Notamacropus eugenii: one gene and its partners. The protein of the gene in region 1 interacts with the protein of each later gene in a pairwise test. Links are inferred from orthologs where the notes say so. Each region holds a gene or a part of one and is shown in the gene's direction. Other genes may lie near its edges. The genes, in order: HAX1, IL1A and SAV1.

Region 1 (7,852 bases):
ACTACTCCATTTCTTCTAAGAACTCAAAGTAGTTCTGAATGCTATCTACCTTTATGCATAGCAGTGCTAAATTCAACCAGTGTCATTGGCACTTTTAGCCTGTAGTTACATTGTACAAGATAATGCAAGAATAAAAGAGAGTGGAAATTATGGCTCTTGCTCTGAGTTTTCAATCTAGTTCGATGAATTGCCAAGAGTGAAGAATGGTGTTAAAGGATAGGGAATCAGAAGTAGTCAGGAATGGCCCTGCTGATTCCATTGTGCTTTCCCCCATCCCTGAACAGCAGTCCTTTGAGAAACAAGGTTTTCATTCTGGAACTCCTGCTGCCTCCTTCAACTTGCCTTCAGCCCTGGGGAGTGGAGGGCCCATCAATCCGGCCACAGCCGCTGCCTATCCGCCAGCCCCTTTTATGCACATCCTGACCCCCCATCAGCAGCCACACTCCCAGATCCTCCATCACCATCTGCAGCAGGATGGCCAGGTAACACACCGTTCCCCTCTTGTCTTTCTTCCCCCACTGATCCTTTTCCCTACCACTCCTTAAAGCTGCCTCCCCCTTCCCTCTTCCCTTCCCTTTCCCCATCTATCCCCAGCGCCGGCCATGGGCACACAACACACACAGACACAAGCGTACACGACACAAGCGGCCGGCAAGGGAGTTGACAGAGAGGGGGCCAGGTTGGGGAGCTTTTTGCTCAGCCCGATAGGTACCTGGAGGGGGTTTGAGTCCCCTCCCTGTTGTGGCACACTTCATCCCCTATATTTTCCCAATAGCCCTGGACCATGCCCCACCCCTCCCCAATCCTGCCACTATAGCTTTCCCTTCTAACCATGGATTTCTATTGTCAAAGTTTGTCCCTTTATTTTCCATATATCCTGGTTCTGCCTCAGCTACCATATTTGCAGATGATTCTCTGTTGCCAGCGCCAGCAGGAGGAGCAGGTAATGAAACTCTCTGAATGATATAATTGTACCTACCCCCTGCCAGTCCCAAACCCCACATGCCACAGCCCTGGGGAAATCAAGGAGAAGAAAGATTGCGCGGCCACAAATCGGGATACACAGACACACATAGACACACTCACACACTTTGCTGGGCTCTCCGGCCTCCCCTTCCCTTCTCCTCCTCTCCTTTTCTCTCTTCCCAACTGTAGAAGGCACTTGGCTACTAGAGTGGATAGGGTTCTTGGGAAAGCATCTGAATCTTGGAAGCCTTAGACAAGTCTCCCCTCTCTACCCTGCTCAGTATATAGGGGTCCAGTGATATGATGGGGGGTGGAAGGGGTGTTATGGAACCCATTCTTTTAGTGCCCTATCTCCACAGCAGAAAGTAGTGCTCCCTTGTTTCTAAGGCAGTGCAAATAAGGAGTCACAGGGATCAAAATCAGTTTAACCCAGCTCTTTTGACCACTCATCTGAGAATCTTTTTCCAGATGAGTGGCCTTTTTGGTGAAGTGGAGGGTTAAGATGAAGAATGAGCAGAAACTGACTTAGTCCCTTAGATGAGCTCTGAAGGTATCTTGCCCTCTGCATTTTCTTGTCTTGAAATCAGAATTATGCTATTGCTGACCGAAGAGGGACTAGAACTTCCAAGGGTTCCATCGATTATGCAGACAACAACTTCTTTGGATTAAGGGCTTAAGGGAAAGTGTAGCCTTTGAGTGGTCTTTTGGCAGGAGGAGAAATGGAGGAACATGACAGTTCCCAGGCCTTCCCACCCAAAGGTCCCTGCTAATTGGCCTCCTTTCTCCTCCCTGTCCTCCCTCCCTCCCCCCCCAACCCCAACATCCCTTCCCCTGCAGACGGGCAGCGGGCAACGTAGCCAGACCAGCTCCATCCCGCAGAAGCCCCAGAGCAGCAAGTCTGCCTACAACAGCTACAGCTGGGGGGCCAACTGAGGCCCTGGCCCTCTTCACCTCCTTGGCCCCCCTACCTGCCGAGAGGGCCTCAGCCTGGCACCTAAGGAAACAGCTACAACACAAAAGCACGTGGAGTGGAGGGTCCTGCTGCCCCCCCGCAGCCTGCCCCAGGCCTCAGCTTCACTTCTGAAGGCCCTTTTCTTTCCTCTCCTACCTATCCTCTTGTATGTAATATAGGATTTGTATTTTTTTCCTTTCTCTTTTTTCTTCTCTCCCCACACTACCCCCGCATTCAAGATTATGAAACTCTTTGCTGTGGGCTCTGGCCTTCCTCTTCCTCTTCCTGCTCACCCTGGTGGTGGGAAGTGGCTGGGGGAGAGGACTCCAGATAGATATCATCAGCCTAACAGCCCTGTCTCCCTTTTTATTATTAGGAAAACAAAACAAAAAAAGTCATGAATATGAACAGATTTGTCAGATGAATTAGTTGAAGTGGTTTTTTTTTTTGTACTGTGTCCTCAAATTTAATGGATTAATGTGTCTTGTATATATAAAAAGAAAACCTCTACCTTCAGCCTCTGCCCATTCTTGCTTCGTCTAGGATGTCCTCAGTCTCCCTGATGACCAGCTGGGTGAATAAGTATTACTGTACCAACTGGGCCTCTACTAGCAGGCTCCGAAGGCAGTGGAATAAAATGAAATCTTCGCCCTTTAACAACTCCTAACCATGATGTGCCGGTGTCCCCTTCTTCCTGACACTGAGTCATTCGGCTCAATTCTCAGAAGCACTTCACCTTTAGTGTTAAACTAGGAAGTGAGAAGGGCAGTGGGGAGAAACTGGGTTGGAAACAATGTTTTCGCACAGTAAAGCAGTGGAACATGGGCTGATCTAAACATATTACTTGGGAAGCACCCAGGAGTGGGGTACACAACACTGGCAGAATCAGTTTGTGATTTTCTGGGAAGGGTCTTGTTTAGGTAGAAAGGAGTGGAAATACAGAGTACACTTTGGGCGGGGTGAACAATAAATCCATCCGACCCCTCCCCCTAGCCACCGCAACTCCAGCTTCCCTTTCCATCTCACCATCGTTCCCCCTTACTTCCACATCTGTGCTACCCTCGGGGCCCACGGAAAGCTAACCCCCTTGTGGCTACAAAATTTAATTAGGGAGGAGGATGGAGGAAGTCTGTCTTCGTGTCTCCATCTGCCTTGGTAAACACAGAATGCACCTTGAAGACATCTTGTCCATCTTGCTTTTAGACGTATCAGCCTGGCAAGAATCAATTTCAGAACGTCAGAGCCGACAGGCACCCTGGAGACCGTCACCTCGATCTCGAGGGTTTTACCCCGTGCTCCAACGTGGCCTGTCCTGTTCTGATTCAGCCTCTGCCAACCCCCAGAGCTGTTCTCTCGGCCCCACTGATGAGGCTTCCCTGCGCCTTCCAGCAGGAACTGTTGCCCTGTTTGTCCCAAGGGAAATCTGGGTTCGGCCCGCGTATCCTGGAGAGCTTTCGGGCTGCCAGAGCGGGCGGGGGTGGATGGAGCAGGGCGCCTCTAGCAGCTTTGTGCCCGAGGCCCTGCACTGTCTGGCTTAGGTTTCCTGACCAGACCGATCCCCAGCCCTCTTCCTTCCTGCCCGAGCTCTCAGCAACTCCAACCCGAGGGGTCCTGGGTTTCCTGTTGCACCGGCTACTCTGGCCTCCCCTCACACAACGCAGGCTTTCTGGGCTCTGTAGCATGGTGGGGCCGGGAGCATCAATCTAAAGGGGCAGGGTTGGGGGGCAGGAGCTGGGCTGCAGGACCTCCCCGGGAGCAGCCGGAGGGCAGGATCCGGAGATTCTGCTTCCACAGCCACCTGTCTCACGAAGCCCCCGGGGACCGAACCACGGATCTCCGCGGGAGTAAAACCGCTTCCTCCTCCACTTCGACCCGGATGTGCCCCTCCTCCGGCCCTCCTACAGTTCAGCCCGCTCCTTGGTCCTGCCCCCGCCGGCATCGCCGCTCCCTCCTTCCCACGAGCGGGCTCTTACGTTCGTTTTACGACAGTGTGACTACTTTTCCGTCAGTGTCGCAACTACCCTAGTAGCGCAGTCGGTCCGTCTGCCCTCCTCGCTTTCCGGCAGTACGGTCGTACTGCTCTCTCGCTTTTCGGCAGTGTGGCCGCATCGAAACCTCCCCTCTCCCTCGCCCTCTGCCCCCACAGTCCTAAGATAAGATCACTTTCCGGCAGTGTGGTGGATCCCCGCCGTCTGGTGCCCTTCCGGGCCTTGGGGTGCGGGCGGGTGGAGGGTTCGAGTCCCGCCTGAGGGATGAGCCTGTTCGACCTTTTCCGGGGCTTTTTCGGATTCTCGGGGCCTCAGAGGTGAGAGTGGGGCCCGGACGGTTAAAAAAATGGGGGGAGCCTTCGGAGGGGGACCCCGGCCCCTGACATCTCCCTCCTTCGCCCCCTGACTGTACGGTGCACCCGTCCAAACTGTCGCAACAGGTGGCGGGGGTGAGGAGAGACAGGGGAAGGGCTGTGTGTATGTCTAGATGTCAACAGTCTTCGCTCGCATGTTCACACGCACACACACGCACACACACACGCACACACACACGCCCCAAACCCAGCCTCCCCCGGGCTCCGGCCCGCTTAGGTGCCCTTTCGGTGTCCACGTCCTTGTGCTTCTCTCTCTGCCTCCCAGACCCAGGGACCCCTTCTTTGGAGGCATGACTAGAGAAGAGGATGAGGAGGACGAGGAGGACGAAGGAGGGGGCGGCGCGTGGGGCTCCAGGTTCGGCGGCCCTGGGGCCCCCGAGGACTTCACGTTTGGCTTTAGTTTCGGGCCTGGAGATGAGATGCGATTCCACGATAACTTTGGCTTTGATGAGCTGATTCGAGATTTCAACCGCATTTTCGGAGACATGGGGGCCTGGACCCTGCCCTCCCGCGCCCCCGGTGCGTGAAGCCCCGCACGCTGGGAGGCAGGAGACACGCTTCCTGCCCCCCCCCCCCCCCCCCCCCCCGGGCCCTGACGTGCCTTTGCCCTTTTGCAGAGCTCCCAGGCCCGGAGCGCCCAGACGGGAGGCGGAGGGAGGGCGAGACCATCCGGGACTCGATGCTCAAGTACCCAGATAGTCACCAGGCTAGGATTTTCAGCCGGGACTCGGAGAGCGGGCCAGGGCGTCCATCTCCCAAAGCGGGCCCGGACTGGGACTCCAAGAGGCCACTCCGTGGGGTGAGGCCCGTTCCCCTGGAAGAGCCACCAAACCTCGGGGATGTGGGAGAAATCCGGGGGACGCAGTTCCTCAGTGCAGGGAGCTCTTAGTCTAATGAGGAGACAGCGCACAGCTTCCAGGACGGATGGTCCAGCCCGGCTGCAAACGTAAGGGCATTAGTGCCGGGGCGCCAGGAGGCCAGACAGGAGCTGAGCTTGGCAGGGTGGAGAGTGATGAGCCTCGGGGAGGAACCCCCAGAAGGCAGAGAGGCCTCCGAGGCCTCCAGTCTGCAGACAAAGGGATGGGCCTTGTGCTTTGTCAAGGCCACAGGACGCGAGGGAGCAGAGCCAGACTTCAAACCCAGGTCCCCTGCTTTCACGTCCATTGCCCTTGTCACCATACACAGGGGGCCCCAAGGTAGCGAGGGTAGTTCAGGAAGCGGGGTGGGGCAGAGGATGGAGTTAGGGAGGTGACCAGAAGGGACCCCTTTCATCAGCTGTGGTTTCTTTTGCAGTTTGATGACATGTGGCCAGTGACTCCTGATGCTACAACCAGAGAGGACAAGGGTATGTGCCAGGGAAGGGGCAGGGCCACAAGGGGTCCTTGATTACCTTCTCAGACCCTTGCGCTCAAGTTCACTTCTTATCTCTGAACATTGCCAGCTTGCTTTCTGAGTATCTGATACCCCTCCACGACTTTTTTTAATGCCTCATCTCTTCTCACCCCCCCCTCCCCCCAAACCAGATCTTGATTCCCGGGTCTCACAGGAGGGCCTGGGTCAAGTCCTAGAGCCCCAGCCTAAATCATACTTCAGAAGCGTTTCCGTTACCAAAATAACTGGACCAGATGGGGTGAGCTAGATGGGGTGGGTTGGGGGTGGGAGGATCATGAAGGGCTGGGGTCCATGGAATATGTCATCTGTTCTGATCCTGAATATGTGGGATAACTGTTCCCACAGGTGGTAGAGGAGCGGCGCACCGTCATAGATAGTGAGGGCCACAAAGAAACCACAGTAACTCGTCGAGAAGCAGATGGCAGTTCTAGAGATGGTGAGTTGAAGAGAGAGGCAATGGTGAGACCATCCCTGAGCTACAGAGGTGAAAGGCCCTTGAAGGAGAAGCTGAGTTCTAATTCTCTTCCGTTTGCTCTCCTTAGTTCCAGTCTACACTATATCAGGCTATATCCTGTTCCCCTTTACCCTCTTGACCTCTCAATTAAATCCACTTAACATACCTTTATTAAATACCAATTACTGTGTTAAACCCTGGGGAGGTAAAGACAAAAATAAAACTATTCTGCCCTTAAGAGAGTTACATTCTAATTGGGGTAACCACATGTACACAGATAACTAAATAAAAGCACCCAGAGTTATTTCCTCAGAGAGAGAACTCAACCCAGCAAGGGGATCAACCCATGCAAAAGGACTGGAACTGGGGGGATGAAAGTTATTTTCCAGCAAACAGGCCAGTGCATCTAGAATTCAGGATCCTCAATCTGACACACTTCTGGTTCATTCCTTCCTGCCTGGATATTTAATTCTCCTCTAGATTCAGGTACCCCACAACATCCAGAGTTGGGGGACAGCTCCTCCATCCTGAATTCATTCCTAAGACGATGGTTCCGGTCTTGGTAGCCCAAGATGACTTCATGGAGGACTGCATCCCTCCCCTCCTTGGCCTGCTCATTACCATCTAGGGTTCCTGACATCACCAGCTGGCTCAGCTGATCTTCCTGCCACAATGAGGGTATGGGGGAGGAGGGGTAGGAAATGTGACAGGTAAAGAAAGAGGTACTCTTCATTTCCTCTCCCCCTTGTCACCGCCCAAATAAAATCTTTATTTATGCTACTGCCTCAGTCTCTTGGTGTGTCCAGCTCCCTGTAGGGCCCATCTGGGCCTTTTGATTCTCTTTGATCTGCCCCCACCTCAGAATGAATGAGAATCAAGTATAAATATTCTTGTATTCCTGTACTTGAATCAAGTATTAATGTTCCTAGTGAGGAACATTCCTCACTAAGAAATAAAGTTACTAGCATAAAAGTTTTTTTTAAATCACAGCAGTTCTAACCTAGTACATTTAGTAAAAAGTAATGGACGTTATCAAATGCTGGCTATTTGAGAGGGCCTGCAGAGGAGACCAGGGACTTAAAGAGAGGTTAAGGAGGCAGTTTATTCAATCTTTTCTGTTTCAGTGTTCACATAGGATCATAGGCTCAGAGGGCTTTGGAGGTCATTGGACTAACATCTTCATTTTTTAATTTTTGTTCTCTAAACTTAAATACTACATACACATAGCAGATCATGAAAAGGAATCTCTGTGAAATCCTAAATCTCCATTTCATACTGCTGGCATTTTTTTAAAAAGTATAGAACAAAGTCTAACATCTAACTTCAAAACTGCCCTTCTTTGTTCTGTTTTGACTGGCCCTCTTTTTCTTTTGCATTCCTAAAGCTAACTTTCTCCTCTTCCCTCCCTAATTAACAAGAAGGAAAAACAAAACCCTTGAAAGAAACAAGCATGGTCAAGCAAAATGAGTTCACCTGGTGAGTGCCTAGGTCCACAAATATTTATCTGTTTCTTCACTTATGTCCAACAGCTCTCCATCAGGAATCAAATAACATACTTCATCTGTAAGTCCTCTGAACACATTGCATTGTGTGTTCTTGCGTCAGAGTTCTTTTCTTTACAATATTTCCTTGTATAAATTGGTTTCCTAGTTCAAATCACTTCACTCTGCATCAGTTCATGGTACCTAGGATTTTCTGAATTGCCTCTTTTATTATTTCTTACTGT
Region 2 (8,517 bases), on another chromosome or scaffold:
GGTAAAATCTCTAGAGTTCCACTAATCCACTAATAGAGTGATCCTGTTCATAAAAAGGAAATGAGGCAGTCATGCCTGACCTTTTCTTGATTCTGCCAAGCTGGATCTAGAGGATCACTATTTCTTTTTCTACCTGTTCATCCTTTTAATTACACACCCTACAGTTTCATCAGGATTTAAAATCAAACTCACTGCCCTATAATTTGTAGTCTTCAAGTACTTCCTCTTTGTGAAAACAGGGGTAACATTTGCCTTCTCCAGGCCTTTAGGACTGGAGACCTCTCCATCTCTCCACAATCTTCAAAATCCCTAAGGGTGCCTTATTAATTACAGTTCTTAGTTCTTTCAGTACTGTGAGAAGTATTCACTAGACCTGGTAATTTGTAGTCTTTTATTACATCCTTATTTTGGGTTTTAAGTGACCATTCATTTTCTAGGCTTTTCCAGTCCAAAAATTCTCTTGATAGAGAAAGCAAGAGTAAAATAAGTTAAGTAGCTCTTCCTTCCCTCCATAATTCATTATTGTCAATCATCTATCCCAAGCATCAACCCAATCAATCCCAATAAATCAAGCATCTCTGATGAACCAATCAATAAACATTTATTAAATATCTAGTATACGCAGGCACCATGGTAAGCACTTCCTTTGTCGGTGGGTTGTTGAGTAGTTTTTCAGCCGTGTCTGACTCCTTGTAATCACATTTGGGGTTTTTTTGGCAAAGATACAGGGAGTGGTCTGCCATTTCCTTCTTCAGCTCATTTACAAATGAGGAAACTGAGGCAAACAGGGGTAAGTGACTTGCCCAGGGTCACACTGCTGGTTAAGTATCTAAGGCTCAGAAAGGTGAATCTTCCTGATGTCAGGTCCAGCACACTATCCACTGCGCCACCTAGCTGCCCTGGTAAGCATTGGGAATGAAAAACACAGGGATCAAAACAGATACAGCTCCCAACTCAATTTAACTGCTTCACACTTTCTGTGAACCTAGCTGTATAAGACACAGTTACTAGAAAGAGGAATAAGCAACAATGAGCTTCCTGTCTACCCTTAGTTCTTTTTCACTTGTCAACCACTGGCTTATGTTGCAATATTTTAAAAGCTCCATGATGCAAGGATGATTTCATCTCTGTCCCTGTAATCCCCCCCAGTCAAGCCCAGTGCTTGGTGTATAGTATGTCTTAATAGAGGATTCCTGGACTTGGAGACAGGAAACTTTGAATCCTGCCCTTTGATATATAACTAGCTGCGTAGCCACAGGTAAATCTCTCAACTTCTCTGCACCTCAGTTTCCTCATCTGTAAAAAAAGGATAACAATACCTGTTGTAACAAACTCACAGGGTCAGTGAGTCTTACAAGGAGGCAGTGGAGGAATAAAGACCTTTCCAAACCACAAAGACCCAGACCAGGAGCTCTGAACTGGACTCCAGGAGTTTATTTTTTCAAACACTTAGGTAATTGTATTCCAATATAATTGGCTTCCTTTGTAATTCCATGTGTTATATTTTCTGTATTAAAAATAAAAAACCCCAGGATTCTGAGTGGTCTTTAAACTTCATCAGATTGACAAAAGTGCCCAAGACACAAAAGGTTAAGAACCCCTGGTCTAGACAAACACCTCCTATTATTATCAGTTGGATGGAAATTGTAAATGACATAGTCGTATTTGTTCGAACTCTGCCAAAGGAAGGTTTAGAAAGAATCAAAGTAGGGGAGAAGCAGGACAAGAAGGAAAAGGGAAAAGGAATGATGAAGCTTGCTGCGTAGAATGGACATTTCCACAATAACATGAGTACCACTAAAGACGTGATTAAACCCAAACCAGAATTTGAGAACTGGATCTTACAGACATTGGCACCCAAACAAAAATGTAGCCCAAAACCCCAACTTTACAAATAAGAAAACAGAGCCCCAGTATGATCAAAAGATTTGCTCATTTAAGTAGTGACAGAGAAAAGACTAAACCTAGGTTTCCTCCTCATTCCCTAGTCCATCAGGACTCTTCTATGTAGCATACCATTCTATGAACCAATCATGCTTGTGGGAGACCCCAACCACATCAATGTAACTGTTCCTGTTGCTGCCCTTTGGATCATGGATGTAGACCCAGAACTCCTTGCTTCCCTCCTTACGGAGGGAACAGAAGGTTCTGTTGAATATATTTCACTGAGTTTAAGATTAACTGGCTTTGCTACTAACCATATGTAAAAGCATAATTGGACAGAATGTTTGCAGGCTAATTACCAGGCAACAAATTGGATCAACTGATTGGTTAACCATCATCTACTTAACACTTGACTATTAGAATAGTTGAAAAATTGATTCAGTTACTCCCATAGTCCATCAGTCATGCATAGACCTGGGCACAAGGATATATAGAGAATGTATATGATTCCGGTGCATTGTCGTTGGACTTTTGAATTGGTCTAAAAATTCTGGAAAGCAACTTGGAATTAGGTTAGGAGAGTGATAAAAAGATCATACCTTTTGACCCAGAGAATCCACTGCTAGGCAAATACCCCAAGGCGATCAAGAACCAAAAAAGTGTCCACACACACCAGATCTTTATAATAGTCCAAGGACCTGGAAACAGAAGGCCATCAACTGGGGAATGACTACTCACATTTTGGTACATCTGTCAGTCAGTCAATAAGCATTTCTTAAGCACTTAATATAAGCCAGTCACTGACCTAAGTGCTGGGTACCACTGGGACTTCCTGATATGGCCATGATGAATTGTCTAACCAAGACTCTTGACTAAGCATGAGGATCTTATGGAAGACCTTGGTGACTTTTGTTAAGACCTCACCTGACTGGGGCACTGTTTTGGGGCACTGTTTCTGGGCACTGACCAAACCCCAACTCTACTACCACTACCTACATTTATCATAATCACTTTTATACATATCTCCTACCCTCCATCATGGCATAAGACCCTCGAGGGCATGAGCTATATCACTCTTTATCAACTGTGCAAGAGACCCCAAGTTCTCTGAGCATCAGAAGCTCTGAATTGGAAAAGGTCTTTCAGTCCAACCAGTATCTGAAGAAGAATTCTCATCTACAACATACACCAGACTAGTGGCAATCCAGGTGTCCACTGAAGTAAAAGACCCAACATGGTGCTTTACACATGGTAAGCACCTAAGACATATTTTCTGAACGAACTGGAATTATGGAATTTTCATTCTGTATGCTGTTTTCCTAGTCCCCACCCTTAAGAAGCACAGGTAGATCTTAGGATACAGATGGGGGTGTACTGGTTGTGTTGATCATCTAGACTTAAAGAAAGCAACGGAAAAAATGTTAGTAATGGAAATTAACTTTAAAAGAATCTCTCATGCACATTTTTTTGGAAAGTCGTTTGTTAAACATTTACCAGCACACCCTTACATACAGAACATGCATACATAAATAATTATTTAAATGTTAGATCTTCACAATGACCCCATGAGGTAGGTGCTATTATTACTTTCATCGTAGAAACTCAGTTTGAGAAAGGTAACATGTGACTTGGATAGGGTCACACAGCTAATTAAATGTCTAAAGGAAGATTGAAAGACAGATCTTTCTGACTCTGAGACCAGCGGCTGTCTAATCCTTCTAGCAGTGTGGAGAGAGTGTTGATTTTGGAATCAGGAAGACGTACGTTCAAATACTACCTGATGAAATGGGGAGCAAAGGCAGATCTTGAACCCAGACTTTTCCTGATTCAAAGAACAGTTCCCCAAGCTCCCAGGTACCAGCAATGTATAACCTGAATTTTTCAGAACACTCCAGACTTGGGCGAAGGCCGAGTGACAAATTCATGTCTCTTGTGATATTTACAGCATACAGAGTCCTAAGACCTCACAAGACCAAAGTCTCTCTTTGTACCCTCTCTTCCTCAACATTTCATAAGAAAATATTGTTAAAGAGGGTCACAGGAAGGAAGTAGTCTAGTGACCAGATAGTTATCTTAGCTGTCCCCTTGACATCTAGGATATTCTCTTCAGAGGAGTCAATGCTAAACTAGTCAGAACCGGTAGAATTGTTGATAGACTCAGGGTTTTTCCTAGATTACCAAAGAGAAAAATATTCATCATCCCAGCAGCTCATCTCCATAGTGGTTCAGTTACTACTTCCCACTATGAAGGAGCAAGTAAAGAAATATTACATACAAGGAGAGCTGTCAGGCCAATCTGATGGGAGCTTAGGGTGCATGAAGAGTAGGATGAAATAAGATTAGAAAGGTACATGAGAGACAGGAGACTTTAAAGATCATAGGAGATGTTCCCAAGTGATCCAACCCACAACTGTCATTTTTATTTAGCTAAACCCCCTTGGCACTTGAAGCTCACAAAGTACTATGCTGTTACACCTGAGTTAGAATCAGGAGGAAGGGTGATGATTGATGTCAAAATGTATTCATTGTGATGGAGAAACCAAGGCAAGTGGGAAGGGCTAGAATGTGTCCCTTTCACTGTTCAGACTCTTGGTGACCCCATTTGGGGTTTTCTTGGCAGAGATACTGGAATGATTTGCCATTTCCTTCTCCAGCTCATTTTACAGATGGGGAAACTGAGGCAAACAAGGTTAAATGACTTACCAAGGGTCACACAGCTAGTGTCTGAGAACATATTTGAACTAGGAAAGATGAGTCTTCCTGACTCCAGGTCCAGCACTCTAGCCACAATGACACCACCTAGTACTGCCCAGGGCAAAAAAAGAGCTGACCTGGAAGCCACTGGTTTCACCCACTTTCACCAAGCCCTGAGCTCTCAGGGGTCCTACCACAGGATACTTGCATTGGAATTTGTGGGAGGTATGAAGGACTCAAGTTCCTTTTCAAAGGTGAATATTTCAGTTGCTAAAAGTCCCAGGCCCCACCCCACCCCCAGTTCCAAATCCTGAGAAATCTGTCCCCTGCAGCCCTCTTTATTGTGTCTAGACTCATTACCAGATTCCTGGGAAAGCAGTTTTCACAGAGACCAGGCCATGACTCCTGATGTCAGCAGGGCCTGACAGCCCACTGTCCTGTCCCATTCAGGCCCCCAAAGTCCTGATTGGGAAGGGATACTCACTTATTTCTCTATTACCTTAATGCAAATGCATTACATTATAATGAAAAACATTTTCCTTAAGACAGCCCTACTGGGTAGATAATATGAGTGTAATTATCCCCATTTTACAAGTGAGGAAAGTGACTCTGAAAAGAGAGGGTAACTTGCCCTCAGTCCCAAAGTTTGGAAGTGGTGGGACTGAAAATCCAGCCGAGTGAGCCTTCTTTCTCCCTAGACAGTCGAGGTCAATCGCCTTTACCAAGAATACAAAAATACTTCATAGTGACTTCTGATGTTGTGCAACTTCTAGCCACACCCCCGGGCAGTATATGCATGTATATATAAAGGCAGTCGGGGAAGTGCAGTCAGTCACAAGTCTCCCGGGACAGACAGAGAGACATAGTCACCCAGAGCCAGAAGGAACAAGAGGTAAGTAGTGTGACTGTCCCGCCTCTGGTCTCTGCATGCTTTTTGGCGTCAGCTGCCATCTCTGAAACTGCCTTGGCTGAAGCCACAAGCTCAGCATCTCCCTGTCTGTCTAGTGCCAGACACACTGCCTTACCTCAAGATAAGGGATAGTGTGCCCGGAGGGGTGGGTGAGGCTTGGGGGAGAGGATTGGGGAGGAGATCCTTCAGAAATGATCAGAATCAAAACATACTGATTTCTCCCAACTCTGCTTTTTGTCTCGTTGAGTTTTTTTATAAGAAAGCAAACTGGATTGCATCCAGCATTAGCACCTGGTAGAACGTCGGTTCGGTAAAGAATGAGATGCTTTCATTTCTCTCTCTGTATTCTCACTGTCTGGGGCAACTAGGTGATGTAGTGGAAAGGGCAGGCGGTAGTCCGAAGGAAACGTCTTCCTGAGTTCAAATCTGGCCGCAGATACTCACTAACCTGTGTGACTCTGGGCAAGTCACTTCACCCTGTCTGCCTCAGTTTCCTCATCTGTAAAAAGGGCTGGAGAAGGAAATGGCAAACCACTCCAGCATCTCTGCTAGTGATACAGTGGATAGAGTGCTGGACCTCCCAGATAAATTTACTATCTATGTGACCCTGGGCAAGTCACTTAGACTCTGTTTCCTCAACTGTCAAGTGAGAATGATAAAGGCCCGTGCCTCCTGGGGTTGCTAACAGGATGTCATGAGATAATAATTGCAATGTGCTTAGCACAGTGCCTGGCACACAGTAGTAGGTACTTAATAAACATTTATTCCCTTTCCTTTGCTTTTCTCAACAAGGAAGTTATCATGGCCAGAGTCCCTGACATGTATGATGAGCTCCATTACTCCTATGGGTAAGCAGGTATTTTTCTTTGTTTTAATGCCACAAGGCAGTCTGAATGCTGGCTAGCTACAAGGAGAGGGTAAAACTGAACTGTCCAACTAATAAAATTGTAAGCAACGTGGCCACAGGCCAACAGGAGATTTCACACAGATGTGTCCTAGATCTGGAATCAGGGCAGATTTGGATAAAAGCCTGGAAAAAACAAAATCCAGACAAAATCCAAAGAAATCTTGTCAGAAGGAAGGATGGCATTCCAGAAAGTTGTTTATAGGAATGTGCAAGAACTGGTCTATGAATGTTAGCTTCATGTTCCTTTGCTGAGCTACAAGTGATTTGAGAAAGGGAACACAGACTTACCTGATACTAATCAGAACTATGAACCGATTGTTTGTGTGCGTGTGTGCGTGCGTGCACATGTATTCCCTTTCCTTTCCTCAGTGGGTGGAAGGTTATTAACTAGATTAACAAAGTACTAGAATTATGGAATACTTTAAAGAAATACAGTTCATTCTTTTTAGTAACACACGTAATTGACATGCAATATTTCTGAGTAGAAAGAGTGATTCTAAAACACTTGGCCAACTATCTGTTTTCTTAACTAGATGAAACATACTGATTTTTAAAATTGCTTTGGTTTTTCTAGCAAACTATTTTCCCAGGTCAGAGCCTATTCAAGAGATCACTAGCGCTGAAGTAGAGGGATCTGTGTTAATAAGGGCTTTCCATATGTAAATGTAGTCACATTGAGCTGTAGGTAATTTTTAAAGATGATGTGAAGGTTGGTGTGATTAGAATCTGTCTATGTGTGACTCCTGGAAATGACATGATCATTAAAACGTGTTGCCAAGAAGCGGTGACCAAACAACAAATAAAGCATTCCTCCTTGCTTTGCAGTGAAAATGAGGAATTTCTTTTGGACATTGACCAAGTCTCACTGAGTCAGGTAAGGCAATGATTGTCAGCCTCTTAAGATTTCTGTGCTTGAGAGTGAATTGAATGGGATGGGATCATGTCTTAAAAAAATGAAATTAAGCGGTGAGAGAAATATATCGGGAGGAGAAAGGGAGAAGTGGAGTGGGGCAAATTATCTCTCATAAAAGAGGCAGGCAAAAGACATTTTAGTGGAGGGAAAAAGAAGGGAGGTGAGAGAAAAACATGAAGTTTACTCTCATCACATTCCACTAAAGGAAGAAATAAAATGCACACTCATTTTGGTATGAAAACCTATCTTACAATACAGGAAAGTGGGGGAGAAGGGGATAAGCAGGGTGGGGGGGAGGATAGAAGGTAGGGCAATGGGAGGAGGGAGCAATTTGAAGTCAACACTCTTGGGGAGGGACAGGATCAAAAGAGAGAATAGAAGCAATGGGGGGCAGAATAAGATGGAGGGAAATATAGTTAGTCTTACACAACATGACTATTATGGAAGTCATTTGCAAAACTACACAGATATGGCCTATATTGAATTGCTTGCCTTCCCAAAGGGAATGGGTGGGGAGGGAGGGATGAAGAGAAGTTGGAACTCAAAGTTTTAGGAACAACTGTCAAGTACTGTTCTTGCTACTAGGAAATAAGAAATACAGGTAAAGGGGTATAGAAAGTTATCTGGCCCTACAGGACAAAAGAGAAGATGGGGACAAGGGAAGGGAGGGATGATAGAAGAGAGGGCTGATTGGTGATAGGGGCAATTAGAATGCTCTGTGTTTTGGGGTGGGGGAAGGGGAGAAATGGGGAGAAAATTTGGAACCCAAAATTTTGTGAAAATGAATGTTAAAAGTTAAATAAATTAATTAAAAATAAATAAAAATTAGAAAAAAAAAAAGATTTCTGTGCTTGGAGAAATGTGATCTTTTGTCCTTGTCTCCCTGCAGAAGCAAGAGGTTCAATATGGTAAATGGCAGGCCAAGTTGAATGGAAGCAGATTATATTTCATTTCACTGGATTTCCTTGATAAAAGATCCCTTTCTCACGCAGTACAGGAATATCTTAAGGACCCTTTCTGAGTCATAAATACAACTGTCTATCAAAGGATTATAAGATTTTAAGTTTGTTAGGAATGTCCAATTCCATCATTTCCAAATGAGAAACCTGAGGCCCTAAAATGTTCAATAATTATCTATCTATATCTAGGGAGATACACACATACACATATACATATATGCATGTATTTACATCTATGTATGTGTGCATA
Region 3 (7,505 bases), on another chromosome or scaffold:
CAAACACTGTTGCTGTTACTGTGTATAATGTTCTCCTGGTTCTGCTCATTTCACTCAGCATCAGTTCATTTAAGTCTTTCCAGGTTTTTCTGAAGTCCAACTGTTCATTTCTTGTAGCACAATAGTATTCCATTACATTTATATACCACACTTTGTTCAGCTATTCCCCAGTTGATGGGCATTCCCTTAATTTCCAGTTCTTGGAAAACAAAAAGAGCTGCTACAAATATTTTAGTACATGTGGGACCTTTGCCCATTTTTATGATCTCTTTGGTATATAGCCCTAAACGCAATATTGCTGGGTCAAAGGGTATGCACATTTCTGCAGCCCTTTGAGCATAGTTCCAAATTGCTCTCCAGAATGATTGGATCAGCTCACAGCTCCACCAACAATGAATTAGTGTTCCAACTCTCCTACATGTTCTCCAACATTGATCATCTTCCTGTTTTGTCATGTTAGCTAATAAAATAGCTCACAGCTCCACCAACAATGAATTAGTGTTCCAACTCTCCCACATGTTCTCCAACATTGATCATCTTCCTGTTTTGTCATGTTAGCTAATATAATAGGTATAATATAATATATAATAATATAATGTGGTAGCTCAGAGTTCTGATTTGCATCTCTAATAAATAGTAATTTAGAGCATTTTTTCATATGACTATAGATAGCTTTAATTTCTTCATCTGGAAACTGCTTGTTCATATCCTTTGACTATTTATCAGTTGGGGAATTACTTGTATTCTTATAAATTTGACTAAGTTCTCTATATATTTTAGAAATGAGGCCTTTAGCAAAGACACTGATTGTAAAAATTGTTTCTCAGCTTTCTGTTTCACTTCTACTCTTGGTTGTATTGGTTTTTTTTTGTATGTGTGTGCAAAAACTTTCCAATTTAGTGTAATCAAAATTGTTCATTTTGCATTTCATAATGTTCTTTATCTCTTGTTTGGTTATAAATTCTTCCATTCTCCATAAATTTGAGTCTACCCATCTTTTGGAAAGTCTGTATGATATAAGTCTTGGTGCTCAATTTCCTTCTACAGTTTTGCTAACACTTCTGTGAACTGGTCATCAATTGCTTTCTTATTAATCACATATCTTTTAGCAATCATATCCAGACATAGGGTCTGGCAGAGGGAGGGAAAGAGAGACTGCATAAATCCAATCTATCAAACCCATTTCTTTAGGAACTTCACCCCATCCTTTGTCATCCTTATGAGGCCTGTTGTAAACAAGTCACCATCTTAGTTACCTGAAAAGGAACAAAGAGCATTTCCTGCATGGGATTCTAATAAATTTAGTTGACTCAGTAAAACCAGGTTCTCACCCAGGCTATGAAAGTTGCAGGGAGCAGAGAAGATTCCTTGCAGAGAGCATCCTTTACTTCTATGTTCTCAGGAGCATCCAAGGCCTCCAGTTTTCCATTTGAACTTTTCCTGCAACTATCCTAATGCCTTGGTGGAAAAAAATCCCAATAGCTTGCTCCTTTAGGAGGGAGTCAACTTCTGCTTCCTAGAATCAGTGATTAGATAAGCCTGGAGCTTTTTTTTTTTTTTTTTACCACTTGTGAGAATTCCCCAATCTCTGCCCTAAATCTGTTCTCATTCTTTAGAGGGTTGGAGTAGAATAGGCTCTTGAGATTCGGTTCCACAGGCTATTTGATAGAGAAGTCAATGTGTAGTTGAAAAGGGGCGGAAGGAAAAGGGAGCTGTCAGGAAAGTTGGAAAGAAATGGACATCTTAATGGGATGTAGGTGGGTGGGAAACTAGATACATACAAAGCAGATGTGAGGTAACCTTGGATGGGAAACAACTTTCTGCAGACCTTTGAGATTTTCTCAGCTGTCTTGAAGGAAATCAGGGATTCCAATAGATGATATCTTGAATTTTCGTGTATCTGGTTTTCTAACCAAGCCTGGGACATTTTGCATACTGATGAATATGCAGGAGATTTGACTCAGGTTGTTGGAGAGAATACTTGATGTTGAGTACCTGAACAAGATATAGAGCTGGTGCCAGTACTTTTTTTTGGGAAAAGACTTGTGGTTCCAGACAATCCTTGGACAAGATGTATAGAGGAGCTGTAAACGTACAGGGGAGTCTGGCTCACCAGTATGTCCTGATTTCAGGGATTGAACAAGTATTCTGTGCTATTGTTGTTCAGTCATAGCACTACAAGCCCTTCCATCCTCCTGTATCTTTCAAAATCTGTCCAAGTTCACATTCAATTGTTTCCATGGAACCATCTATCCATCTCCTCCTTTGCAGTCTCCTTTTCCTTTTGCTTTCAATCTTTTCCATGTGTCCAAAGTATTTAAGCTTCACCTTCAGTATTTGACCTTCCACTAAACAATCTGAATTAATTTCCTTAAGAAATTGATGGAATTGAAAGAAAAAGGAAAAGGGGACAGCAGTTAATTGATATTGAGTTTTCTGTCTTGTTATGAGCTATCTTATTATTAAAGAGTTCATTCTTTGATATATTCCAATGTGTGTAACTTCTTTGATTGTTTAGTTGTTTGAAATGGTTTTACTTGCTATTCTTCATTTGTGATGCTACTTTGTTTAACCAGTGTTTGGTGGAAAGGTGGAAACCTTCTTTTGATCTTCTCTAGAAATATGAAGAAACATGTATTTTTCCAGTCTCAAAAATCCTTCCCAGACTTGTCACCTTAGGAAGGTGGGTTAGGTCAATATTCAGGAAACTGGATTAAAAGTGGAAAACAAATTTTGAACAGAGTACCTCTTCTCTTATTAAGATCATAACTAGAGTAGTGGGTGACCCATCCTTGGGAAATAATCTCTTTTCCAGTAAGAAAGAAGCACCTCTTGTTGTTCAGAAAAGATTACGATTTTAGAAAGAAGATCCTTTCAGAATTTGAGAGGAATAGTTCAGGAAGGAATTGAGTGGTTCTAGTCGAAGATTAAATAACTAATATTCATGACCATTGTTCTGAAATGTCATACCAAACTACTTTAACAGTTCTTATAGATTCTTATAAATATTTCAGAAAATTATCTTGGAGCATAAAGACGTCCTGAGGCATAAGAATGAGTTCAGTTTGAACATTTCTCTCTCTAAGCTGGAAATGCTTATATATAAAGTTATGTGAAATTGTTTCTGGCAGACTTGTGTCTACAATACAGATTATGAAGTTAAATTTTTTTTTTGACAGCACTACACTTTTTTGAATGAGGGCTATTCTCATCTTTAAGAGTAATCAGGGACCTGGCTTTCCTTCAGAACTATTCTTGTACACCTGAGGAGGAGAAAGTGAGGCTGGTGACCTTGCACAGCCCTCCTAAACTCAAAATAAAGTCAAACGCAAGTCATATCATCATTTCTCTGATGTCATGGTCTTCTTGGAAAACGAAAGACGAACACAACAACAACCTGTACACCTAGAATACTGATATTTGAGATGGCAGATAGATGTACTTATAGCTTGATACTTCTCTTGGAAACAGGCAAGAGAAGAAGCAAGAGTTCAGTCATGGCTCTTCTCTGCTCTTGAGGTAGGACTCAGTCTTCCTTGGAGAGGTAAGCCAGATTTTAGAGAAATCTATCCATGTCATCAATGAGTCCCGTCCATACAACTATTACCTTTTTATAGGACAACCACACGACCTAAATTTACTGAGCATATTGATTTTAAGAATACTGTATATTTCAACAAAGCTTTGTAAAAAGAATTTCACTGGTCAGACTGCATCCTGGGCTCTTGGATGCATTATTATCTTTCCCACAAATATCCTCCACTCCTCCTATGCTATTCCTTTGGCGTGTACCACCATTTTCCTAGTCACCCAGGCCCACAACTTGGATGTTACTCTTACCTGCTCAAGAGTGGCAATTTTCAAGTTTATGTTTAATATTTTGTTCATATAATTGTGATATATGATTTTGTTTTTCCATATTTTCTTTAAGAATAAATGTTTCCTTTTCCTATTTTCTATTTCATTTGTATGCTGGGAAGGGAATGATTTTGACTTTTGCCTATCAAATACCAATTTTAAACTGATCCTCTCCTCTCCTTCCCTTCTCCCCTTCTCTTTTTAAGCCCTTGTCGGGCTAGGGCTGAACATTTTTTTCCCCGGAGGGTCGAACTTACAGATCTTGAGATGGAATCTAATGAAGACTTTCCCCGTCTTCCTTCCTGTCCTCAAGTACTCTTCTTTCCTGGCTTCCTCCCCGGACTCACTAAGAAGAGCCGCCCCTGGCTACTCCTTTAAGCTCTCCCCGCGCTGTTTGTGCCCGGCTAGAGAACGGGCGGAAGAGGGCACGTGCTGCGTACAATCCCCCAGAATCCCCTGCAGCCTACAGGAAAGGTCCCGGGCGCAGGAGTCTGCCGCGATTTCGTTCCCGGGCACAGGCCGAGCCGCCGCGGATCATGGCTCTGGCCTCGTTCGCTTGCGCTTCCCTGGGCGGCCCCGCGGAGCAGGCGAGCTTCCGGAAAGGGTCGAACGGGAGCGTGCGGAGCGGCCGACACACTTAGCAGCCCCGTAAAATGCAGCATTCTCTGCGGAGGAGCCGGGGCTTTGGGGCGGCGGGCGACTGCGGCTCGCTAGCGGCTGGAAGGGAAGTGGGCTGTGGCGCTGCCCCCTGGCGCGGCGGAGGCCGGGGCTGCCCGCTCTAGGAAAGTTCGCTGGGCGCCTGCGAGGCTTCGGGGGGCCCCGGACCGGGCCGGCGAGATGTTGTCGCGAAAGAAAACGAAGAACGAAGTGTCCAAACCGGCCGAAGTGCAGGGGAAGTACGTAAAGAAGGAGACCTCGCCACTGCTGCGGAGTGAGTCCCTGGCGAGCCGAGAGGGGGCAGGGGCGTGGCGGCGGCGCCGAGAAGGGAGGGCCGGCTGCCGTGGCCCTGCGCTCCCTTCGGGGCCTGAAGCCCGGGAGTTTAAGGCTTGGCTTCTGCTGGCCCCGCTGCCGGGGAGGGTGGAGAAGGAGCGCTTGGAGCTGCGTGTGGATGAGGGCTGAGCTGGGTTTGGGCGACCTGGGGCTGGCGGGAAGGGGTGCCAGGCACCAGTCAGCCCGTGCTTTGGCCAAAATCTATACATTCACATATATAATTCATACCTATAACTCTGGGATTTGCCTGGTTGCTTTACCTGTGTCTCCTTGACTTAGGTTACTTCCAAGGGCACTATTTTTAATGATGTTTATTTTTTGGTTTCTTTTGCTTTGGTTTGTTTTCTCCTTCGAACAATTAACTAAAAACAGTACATGAGATATCAAAATCTTGCCCTTAGGACAGAGTATCACGTTATATGTTACTCTGTATCCATGTTGGCATTGTTTTCACTTACGATAAAAGACTTAGTGTAACAATGTGAATTATGATTCTTCAGGGAGTTAGCCATCTAAAAGTTTAAATTTGAAGTGTTTGGAAACCAGTTCCAGCTTTTAGACATCTGGTGAAACAGCAGGCCTTTATTAAAGGCCTGCTGTGTGCTAGAGAAAAATGAATTGGCAAATGCTTTCAAGGAACTTAAGTTCTATAGGGAAACAGTATGCATAAACATAAATAAGAAATATAATTTTTAGGAACGGTATTAGCAGATGGGGAGGGATGATAAAAGAGGTGGCACTTGAGCTGACTTTTGAAGGAAGTTAGGGATTCTAAGGCATAGAAGAGAGGGAATTCGAAGCATGGGAGGACAGTGCAAAAGCACAGAAACAGGTGATAGAACAACAGGAGGGAGGCCAGTTTTGCTGGATCATAGAATGTGTAAGTAAATAAATAGAAAAGCATTTATTGAGGGCTAATATACTATGTGGCAGGTAGCCTATTAGGTGCTGGGGGTACAATGATGAAAGTGAGACATTCAATAAACATTTACTAAGTGCCTGTTTCTGTTGTCCTTCAGTTGTAGCAGACTCCTTTTGACCCTATTTGGGGTGTTCTTGGCAAAGGCAGTGAAGTGGTTTGCCATTTCCTTTCCAGCTCATTTTATAGGTGAGGAAACTCAGGCAAACAGGGTTAAATGACTTGTCCTGGATCACAGAACTAGTAAGTGTCCCAGGCCAGATTTGAACTGAGATCTTCCTAACTTCAGGCCCAGTGCTATACTCACTGCACCATTTAGCAGCCCCTTTTAAATGCCTTCAGTGTGCCAGGCACTGTGCTAAGCACTGGGCATTGACAGTTCCTGCCCGTAAAGGAGCTCACAATTTATTGGGGGAGATAACATGCAAACAATTATGTACAAAGAAGCTATATAGAGGATAAATAGTAAATCATCACAGAAGAGATTAGAATTAAGAGGGATGGAGGGGGCAGAGAAGGCAAGGGAAAGGGAATAAACATTTATATAGCATCTACTAAGGACCAAACTGTACTAAGCTCTTTATAAACTTTTAAGTTTATTTAATTGGGATTGGAAAAGACATTTTGTATAAAGTGAGATTTTAGCTGGGACCACAGAGGAGGGGGGGAGAATGAGTTCAGTTTGGAACATGTTGAGTTTAAGATGTCTCTAAGATATGTGCAGTAGGCATTTGGAGATGGGAGCTGAGCTCAGCAGAGAGGTTAGGATTGGATAAGGAGATCTGAGAATCATCAACATTAAAGATGATAATAGAATTCATAGGAGCTGATGAGATTATTAAGTAAAATAATACAGAGAGAAAAGAGGGCACAGAATAGAGCCCTGTGGGATACCTAAGGTTACTGGGACTCCCCTGGATGAAGATCCATCCAAGAAGACTGAGAAGGAGCAGGTAGGAAGAGAACCAGGAGAGAGCAGTGTCCTGAATACCTAAAGCAAAGAGAGTGTTGAGGAATGGAGGATGACCAAATGTGTCAGAGATTTCAGAGAGGTCCAAAAGTCTGAAGATTAGGACAAGGCCATTGTATTTGGCTGTTAGAACATCATTGTTAACTTTGATGAGAGCAATTTTGGTGGAATAATGAAGTTAGAAGATGCCAGATTGTGAAGTTAAGAAGATAGTGAGAAGAAAGGTAGTGGAAGCATCTATTATATGTGGCCTTCTTAAGAAGTTTAATCACAAAAGACTAAAGAGATATTGGATGAGAATTAGTGGAGATGGAAGATCAAGACATAACCATGTTTTTCAGGCAAGAGGGAAGTAGCCAGTAGACAGAGATTGTATTTAAGTGAGAGAATTGGCATGATAGAGGGGGCATACCGCTGGAGGAGATAGAATGGAATGGAACCACTTATGCAGATATCCGGGTTTGCCTTGGCAAGGAGAGGGGCCACATCGTGCTTCAGGTGAAGGAGGAAATAGTAGCAGTTTGTATCAGAGTATTATAAGGTGAGGAGGAGGGGAGAAGAGGTTTGCAAGAACATTTGTTGAGAGTGGAATAGTGAATTAAATAGGAAAGTATGGAGTGATTGCCTAGCAGCAATGAGGACACATGTAGTTAGGTAACAAATTTGTAGTGGACTCAGAACAGTTGTGTGATTTTTCTCCTTTGTTCAGCAATTGTATAATGATGCACACTGGGAGTGTGGAATGATACAAGACTGAGACTTGGCTGG

The links.
Region 2: the proteins of HAX1 (region 1) and IL1A interact in binary tests that used the Homo sapiens proteins (3 or more experiments, as listed by UniProt). The link is inferred for Notamacropus eugenii from reciprocal best matches to the Homo sapiens genes HAX1 and IL1A.
Region 3: the proteins of HAX1 (region 1) and SAV1 interact in binary tests that used the Homo sapiens proteins (3 or more experiments, as listed by UniProt). The link is inferred for Notamacropus eugenii from reciprocal best matches to the Homo sapiens genes HAX1 and SAV1.

The regions. Positions count from the first base shown.
Region 1 is NC_092873.1:378,176,016-378,183,867, forward strand, and holds HAX1 (HCLS1-associated protein X-1), read left to right. Parts: upstream 1-4,287; 5' UTR 4,288-4,393; coding exon 4,394-4,799; intron 4,800-4,897; coding exon 4,898-5,079; exon of another isoform or gene 5,080-5,226; intron 5,227-5,573; coding exon 5,574-5,625; intron 5,626-5,803; coding exon 5,804-5,910; intron 5,911-6,017; coding exon 6,018-6,108; intron 6,109-6,606; coding exon 6,607-6,692; 3' UTR 6,693-6,906; downstream 6,907-7,852. Other genes in the region: UBAP2L (ubiquitin-associated protein 2-like), read left to right, coding at 285-482, 893-943, 1,804-1,899. UniProt on the Homo sapiens protein: Recruits the Arp2/3 complex to the cell cortex and regulates reorganization of the cortical actin cytoskeleton via its interaction with KCNC3 and the Arp2/3 complex. Slows down the rate of inactivation of KCNC3 channels. Promotes GNA13-mediated cell migration.
Region 2 is NC_092872.1:717,207,012-717,215,528, reverse strand, and holds the start of IL1A (interleukin-1 alpha), read left to right. Parts: upstream 1-5,401; 5' UTR 5,402-5,470; intron 5,471-6,280; 5' UTR 6,281-6,289; coding exon 6,290-6,336; intron 6,337-7,220; coding exon 7,221-7,269; intron 7,270-8,517. UniProt on the Homo sapiens protein: Cytokine constitutively present intracellularly in nearly all resting non-hematopoietic cells that plays an important role in inflammation and bridges the innate and adaptive immune systems.
Region 3 is NC_092872.1:308,773,911-308,781,415, reverse strand, and holds the start of SAV1 (protein salvador homolog 1), read left to right. Parts: upstream 1-4,288; 5' UTR 4,289-4,695; coding exon 4,696-4,789; intron 4,790-7,505. UniProt on the Homo sapiens protein: Regulator of STK3/MST2 and STK4/MST1 in the Hippo signaling pathway which plays a pivotal role in organ size control and tumor suppression by restricting proliferation and promoting apoptosis.